2 linked regions of the Neodiprion lecontei genome follow. The protein of the gene in region 1 interacts with the protein of each later gene in a pairwise test. Links are inferred from orthologs where the notes say so. Each region holds a gene or a part of one and is shown in the gene's direction. Other genes may lie near its edges.

Region 1 (3,758 bases):
CCCCGGAAATTATCCGGAAAGTTTAAAGTGTAATTCAAAATTATTTGGTTGAGATATTATTAAAAAACCAAAGAATCAGAAAGGAACTGGAGTCTTTTCACAAATTACGTGAAGAAACCGCGGTCAAACCTGACGCACGTATCCAAATTATATTGTACCGAATTAATCTGTTCTCGGATTTTGTCTGTAACGAAATTTTTTGCACATCGTCTTGTGATTATAATGGAATAAAAATTCAAGTTCCACGAACATAAAAGAATTGAAACGTGTATTTTTTTTTTATATTAACCGTGCATATAAATGCATGTCTTGGAATTTTCAACTAACCACAAACTCGACCGCTAATTTCTATGGAATTCTATTCTTTTTATCGACTATTCACGGTTCTCATTACTAAGCATCAACCGCGCATTGACATCCGTTCTGCTTTTAATTCTCAACGTTCGAATTGAACACAAACTCTAGATAGCAGATAAAAAAAGTAGTTAACAGTATTTCAGACAAACCAATTCTTGATATTATAGTATATTTCGATTGTTTTCCCTTTCAATATGAATTTCACCCGAGATCCACATTATAATATCCTAAATCGTTCATATTCTTCGCATAAAATGTTCACTTCCAAACGATTGTTTTTACAATTTCAATTCGTTTCAATCCATTTCAACCATAAATGTTGAATATTACGAAACTATTGGAACGACTACTGCAATATTATACGGATAGTTAAAGATTATAAAATAATGCATGGAAAAAGATTATTTCACGTCTTTAATCACGTGATTGACAATAAGCGAAATGAGGAATGTTATTCTCGTTCCGAACCCTCCTTCCGCCAGACATACTCTTCATAGGGTTGATACAAAATGATGTTTGAAAACCCGTCTAGTAATGAATTTTCGAAAACGGTATACACGTTATACCGTTGACGTGGAATGACCCATATACGTATCGGAGGCGCTGGACACACAGAACTCGGGAGTTTCCGTGTCGGTTCGGTTCGCCGTTCGGGTTCTGCGCAAGAGTTTAGAGTAATAAGGCAGCGAAAGCAGCCGCCGTTGACACTGGCCTATTGTTGAGTTTTTCAGAGTCTCGATTATCGTGCGACCCGCAATAATATAAATATTGTTTAAACAATCGTTGGCGCGTACTTAAATATAAAGTGACGGGTGTCGGGTGAAGTGATATCCAACGGTGCGTAATTATATCGCGTTAAAAGGTGAAGATATTGGCGGCCGAGCAGGGGGGGGGAGGAGGAGGAGGAGGAGGAGGTGGCGGAGAAGGAGGAAGATAGGCGGCTAAATTCGCAAGGCCATTTAGCTAAACACGATGTCGTCGCCGCCGACGTTCATTGCGAGGAAAACAAAACAACCTGCGTCAGGTGGGTCTCGTTAGAAAATGGCAGTTATTAGGGAAGTAAGATTCGTCCATGGTAGAGTACCGACGTTTTCGTACACGACACCGTCCCGTGGTAATGGTAATGACCATTCAAACACCATGTCGCAGGGATACTCAGGCAACAACGCCGATTTGAGTGATTTCGAAGACTGTTACCTCGAGACGGATCCCCTCAGATACGAGTTGAAAAATATCCAGAGTGTCATCCATGTCACGAGGCAGAACATCGATGCGCTCAATAACAAGTTCGCCGGCTTTCAACACCCGCCTCCGATCTACCTCACCGAGTATCAGGAACTCACCAGCAAGCTGCACGAGCTCGAATCCAAGGAACAGAAGCTCAACGAGCTCCTGAACTCTACCGCTAGTGTTAACATTGACTACGAGGTTCAGACACCATCCAGACAACCAGACCCGAGAACCCCGCTGAAGTCTTTGCTACGCGCTCATCTACCCAATCAGCAACGCACCAGCGTCCAAGTCAAAGAGGGACTTTCGCTCAGAGACGCCCTCGCCAAGGCGATGAAGCTGCGAAATCTTACGCCGGAAATGTGCGTGGTCTATGTAATAGGACACAACGATACCAAGATACCGATTCCCTGGGACACGGACATTTCGTCTTTGGAATGCGACGAGATATCGGTCGAGATATTGGATAAATTTCCTATAACGACTTCTATATCGCACAATTTTGCTAGAAAGACATTTTTCTCATTGGCGTTCTGCGAATTCTGTAGAAAACTTCTCTTTCAAGGATTCTATTGCCGGACTTGTAACTACAGATTTCATCAACGATGTGCCGGCGGTGTTCCGGCGCTGTGTCATCAGGTTCGCATGCAAGATGCTTACTACCAGGCTCTTCTGGCTCACAACCCCGAAACTACTGCTGGAATACTCCAACTTCCATCTGGCTATGGTCTAAGTCGAAGCATGTCTCCGTCTCTGGCTCCTGTCAGAAGTCACAGACATCCCAGAACCTTGGGGCAGCAAGATCGCTCCAGTTCCGCTCCCAATGTCTGCTTCAACATGGTTAAACCAGGGAGCGATCCCTCGTCTCTCGAGGATTACACCAGATCTCAAAGCCTGGGAAGGCCGGTTGGTAACACTCAGAGTCCGGTTTCACCTGGAAGCAGTCCGACCAAGCACAGTCAATCGACGCAGGCGAGTCCGACGAGTACGTTGAGGCCAAAACGGCCAAGGGCAAGGTCGGCTGACGAATCTTCGAAAAATTTATTGGCCCCCAGAGAGTCGATCGAAGACTGGGAGATTCCGGCCGATGAAATATTGGTGGGACCTCGCATCGGTTCAGGATCGTTCGGGACGGTGTACAAAGCTCATTGGCACGGTCCGGTGGCTGTGAAAACTTTGAACGTTAAAATTCCAACACTGGCTCAACTCCAGGCATTTAAAAATGAAGTTGCAGTGCTCAGGAAAACTCGTCATGTTAATATACTCCTGTTTATGGGTTGCGTCAGTAAACCCCAGCTCGCCATAGTAACTCAATGGTGCGAGGGATCGTCTTTGTACAAACACCTCCATGTTTTTGAATCCAAGTTTGAACTTTTGACACTTATTGAAATTGGCAGACAGACTGCACAGGGTATGGATTATCTACACGCAAAGAACATCATTCATCGGGATTTGAAGAGCAACAATATATTCTTGCACGATGACTTGACTGTGAAGATTGGTGATTTTGGACTGGCAACAGCGAAGACAAGGTGGTCTGGATCTCAGCAATTTCACCAACCGACTGGTTCCATTTTATGGATGGCACCCGAGGTTATCAGAATGCAGGAAGAAAATCCCTACAGTTATCAGTCCGACGTTTACGCTTTCGGAGTGGTACTTTTCGAACTGCTTACCGGACAGTTACCTTATTGTAACAATAACAACAAAGATCAAATTCTCTTCATGGTTGGGAGAGGCTACCTGCGTCCTGATTTGAACAAACTCAGATCGGACACTCCGAAGGCTTTGAAACGCCTGACGGAAGACTGTATAAAATTTTCCAGAGATGAAAGACCGATATTTAGACAAATTTTAGCTAGCTTGGAAGGTTTGATTCAGGGTTTGCCTAAGATAACCAGATCAGCTTCGGAACCAAATTTAAATCGAACTCAATTGCAGACGGATGATTTCCTTTACGCCTGCGCTTCACCTAAAACGCCTGTCAACTTTCAATTCGGAGCATTCCCTTTTTACCCATCGGGCGGGAACATATAATGGACATTACTTTGAATTTTCACCCTTGGCATATAAAAACATAATAGAATGCATTAAAGAAAAAGAAACAGAATTGAAAAGAGAAAAATTTGAAAAAAAATTAAGTTGCGAACAATCTACGTAGTTACTTCCTA
Region 2 (3,758 bases), on another chromosome or scaffold:
GACTATATTGTATTTAAATTATTATTCACATTATCATCATAACCCAAAATGATCGACGAATTTGATTAAAATTGAACTGTATATACATTTACGATTGCATATTTATTACGTTATATTTAATATTCTTATTAATAGTTTTTATTTTATATTATATTCATATCTTAGGCTAACATATTTTTTATGTATAAACTTTTGAAGTAAGTTATATGAAATGTAAATTTATTTTATTTTTACTTTCTTCCCTAAGGCCTGTAACAGAATTTTAAGGGGTAAGCATAACCTTCGAAAAACGAGTCTATTTTCCATATTTCTTTTTCACTCAGGTATTCGGGTGCCAAGATTGAACTTTTGCACACAGTTAATACGTAGTATTGAAATGTCTCGTTTTTGTTTTTTTTTTCCTATTGCAAAAAATTCATAAAGAACATATTTATTGTTATATAAACAATGCGCTGTAGATGCCGCACGACTCGTTTACGGACATGATTACGGCAACTAGAGTGATCTAAAATGAAAAATGGAAAACTCTACTTTTGGTACAATGATGAAGCTGCAAAACCTTCGGTTACTTTTTTAAATCGAATTTCATTAGACCCGTATTCTTTTTCCGTTCCATGATCCGCGTTTCCAAGACATGCTGTGATCTTAGGCTGTAAATACGTCTGATTCGCAATCGAATTCAAAGCAAGTCAAGCCTACAATTAACACTATATGTCACTATCGTCGAATACGTGTTTTTTTATGAATCAGATTAGGGTGCCTAGGGGTCAAAATTATTTCATTCCGTTATTGTTTTACGAAAAATGATGGTATCCTCTAATAATACGTGAAGAGTGGCCGATTCCTACTTTGTTGACCAACATGTAGATGGCAACATATCTTGTTATCTATTTTACCGGTAGTGATTCGAACTGGGTGAGTTTTTTGTGACTACCACTCACTAATGGCAGTAGCGAAGTGGGCTGTGGCCTTAGAGCATATAGTCCTGGTATACCCTTTCGCATAAGTGGAAAACGGTACAGAGAGGGAAATAGTAATACTACATCCCTTCTCTGTCTCGCAGGCTCCGATTGGCCGACTTACGCTAGTGCTCCGAGCACTCACGCTTGTATCACAGGATCCCGGTTCCTGGCTGTAAAGGCTTTAATAGTTTGTTTTGCTCGTAGTGCATACCAGGAGCATCAGAAGTTCGAGTGCTGCTATTAAGTTTAATTTATTTACTAAAATCATGCCATTGAAACGTCGCGTTTCCATCACACTTTATGGAGAAAATGCCCGTTCCACATTCATAAATTAAAATTTTTCATTTAAAAATATGTTAAATACTGATATTATTAACTGTTTGTTTCAATAACCTTATCTACTAGAAATCAGTGTATGTGTATACATATCCGGATTATATCCACGCAATGCGCGGGGCACTCAATTACGACAGGTACGCTCTTGCCGCAGACAGAGCGCGCATGTAATATTACGATGTCTCTCTCTGTCACTGACTCGGAGACAGTTTTCCAGCGTCGATGCTTCCTCAATGTCTATATGCTCTAAGGCTGTGGCAGGCGACACTCATCAAAACAATTAATTTTATTAAATTAATTTATACTTTTAAGCTCGAGCGAGTGACTAAACAATTGTCGTGACAAAAGAATTTGAAAATAAACTCTGTAGTGAAATGCCCTGCAAGCTTTAGTAAGTATATGAAACATTTTTATCCTCAACTTCAAGTTTACTTTGCCCTGTTTAGTGTTACTTTTTTTTTCTTTCTTCACAACTCATATCCTATTTCTCACTTACAGATCGTTGACAGATTAGAAAATGCAAATCTGATGTAACCAATCGACAGATAATAACAAAATATCGTTTATCATCATCGTAACTCTAATCAACTACCGTATTTTACAATACGATTGTGCGAATAACCTTTAATAAGTTTTTCATTAGCTCAAAATACCCAATCAATATAACACAAATTTAAATACCACTTTCTTATTTCTCGAAACATTTGCAAGATTAATTTCAGCATTTTTCCTTTGCTTTCGCGAACTTTCTATGGGATACTTCATAATATCCATCCTTGAGACATAAATAGGTAGATAGAATCTCTTACAATTAGTGAAGATCAATTGCTCTCCATCATCTTTGTTGAAGATTCTTTTTTCACTTTGCAGGTATCTTTTTTCAACCAGTGTACGACCCAGCATCATTCAGGTCCGGTACTTTGGTTCAAGTTGAGATTTACTAAAAAGACTGTCATGACGGAATACAAGCTAGTTGTTGTAGGGGCTGGAGGTGTTGGCAAGTCAGCGCTCACCATACAACTAATTCAGAACCACTTTGTAGATGAATATGATCCAACAATAGAAGACTCTTATAGAAAACAGGTAACTAACATTTGGATTCAAAAATTTTGTCGCATAAGTTATACAATTAATTTTTTTTTCAATCAAAGTTATCTTCAATGCACTAGAAATAGACAAATACTCTTTATTTTTAGCTTAATTATTTTCATATTTTTCAGGTTGTTATAGATGGGGAAACTTGTTTGCTGGATATTTTAGATACCGCTGGCCAAGAAGAGTATAGCGCAATGCGGGACCAATACATGCGAACTGGTGAAGGATTTCTACTAGTCTTTGCTGTTAATTCGGCAAAAAGTTTTGAAGTAAGTACAATACTGCATTTCGATACATTTATTGTTTAGTAAGCTAGAAAATTATTAATCTTCGCGATGTTTACTTACAAAATAATGTAGTTAGTAAAAATCACAGTAACCAAAAAAAATCACACAGTTGTCTTGTCTCAATTAACCTGATCATCAGATATCCCTTGAGTCTGTAGCAAAGCTTTTCACACTTGCAATGATATCTTCTCAGCTTATCAATGTGACAAGTATTTATAACTTGAGAGTATGAATCAAGAGGTTTTATTGTAATTAATTACAGGGTATAGTAAAGTTTGTCATATTTAAGCAATTTTTTCCATTCTTTTATTTTCTTCACTATAATTACACTGACCTAACTTTGGTTGCTTTCTTCGCATTACACAGGACATTGGAACATACAGAGAACAGATAAAACGTGTCAAAGATGCCGAAGAGGTGCCAATGGTGTTAGTTGGGAATAAATGTGACCTTCAGTCATGGGCTGTAAATATGACGCAAGCGAGAGAAGTAGCTCGTCAGTATGGTGTACCATTCGTTGAAACTTCCGCAAAAACTAGAATGGGAGTAGACGACGCTTTCTATACTCTAGTAAGCAAAGTGATTCATAGTAAAAGATGAAAAAGTGTGCAAGTGGTAAAAAATCTTACTGGTTATCACTTATATCTTTCAGGTTAGAGAAATCCGAAGTGATAAAGAACAAAGAGGCAAAGAAAAACGAAAGCGTATGAGAGCAAGAAGTTCTGGACGCCGAAGGCATCGCTGCTGTCTTCTGTAAATGGTTAACTAATTTCTGTTACCTTTATATACTATACAAGCGCGAGTATAATGTAAAAAGAAAAAAAAACCGTTGGGTTAATTAACTGTGTCGCACATTAGTGCAGTTCACTTTGAAACGCGAAGTAAAGCTGCCACCACAACATTTTTTAAAACGATTGATGTATGATTGTACAATATTACACAATACATTTTTACTCGTAGTATCAAATCTTATCTTACAAATAATGATAACATTTTACTGGATTAACTATCTATATTTCGAAACTTTATTTGGGTTTTGACCATTCTTAAGCTAAGTATGAAAAATTATCTCTTAAGA

The links.
Region 2: the proteins of raf homolog serine/threonine-protein kinase Raf (region 1) and ras-like protein 1 interact in a two-hybrid assay, tested with the Drosophila melanogaster proteins (2 studies listed by BioGRID). The link is inferred for Neodiprion lecontei from reciprocal best matches to the Drosophila melanogaster genes Raf and Ras85D.

Annotation. Positions count from the first base shown.
Region 1 is NC_060262.1:27,894,276-27,898,033, reverse strand, and holds the start of raf homolog serine/threonine-protein kinase Raf, read left to right. Parts: upstream 1-1,010; 5' UTR 1,011-1,398; coding exon 1,399-3,624; 3' UTR 3,625-3,758.
Region 2 is NC_060265.1:20,933,178-20,936,935, reverse strand, and holds ras-like protein 1, read left to right. Parts: upstream 1-1,491; 5' UTR 1,492-1,689; intron 1,690-1,804; exon of another isoform or gene 1,805-2,089; intron 2,090-2,168; 5' UTR 2,169-2,252; coding exon 2,253-2,381; intron 2,382-2,518; coding exon 2,519-2,662; intron 2,663-3,046; coding exon 3,047-3,250; intron 3,251-3,332; coding exon 3,333-3,437; 3' UTR 3,438-3,581; downstream 3,582-3,758. UniProt on the Drosophila melanogaster protein: Ras proteins bind GDP/GTP and possess intrinsic GTPase activity. Plays a role in eye development by regulating cell growth, survival of postmitotic ommatidial cells and differentiation of photoreceptor cells.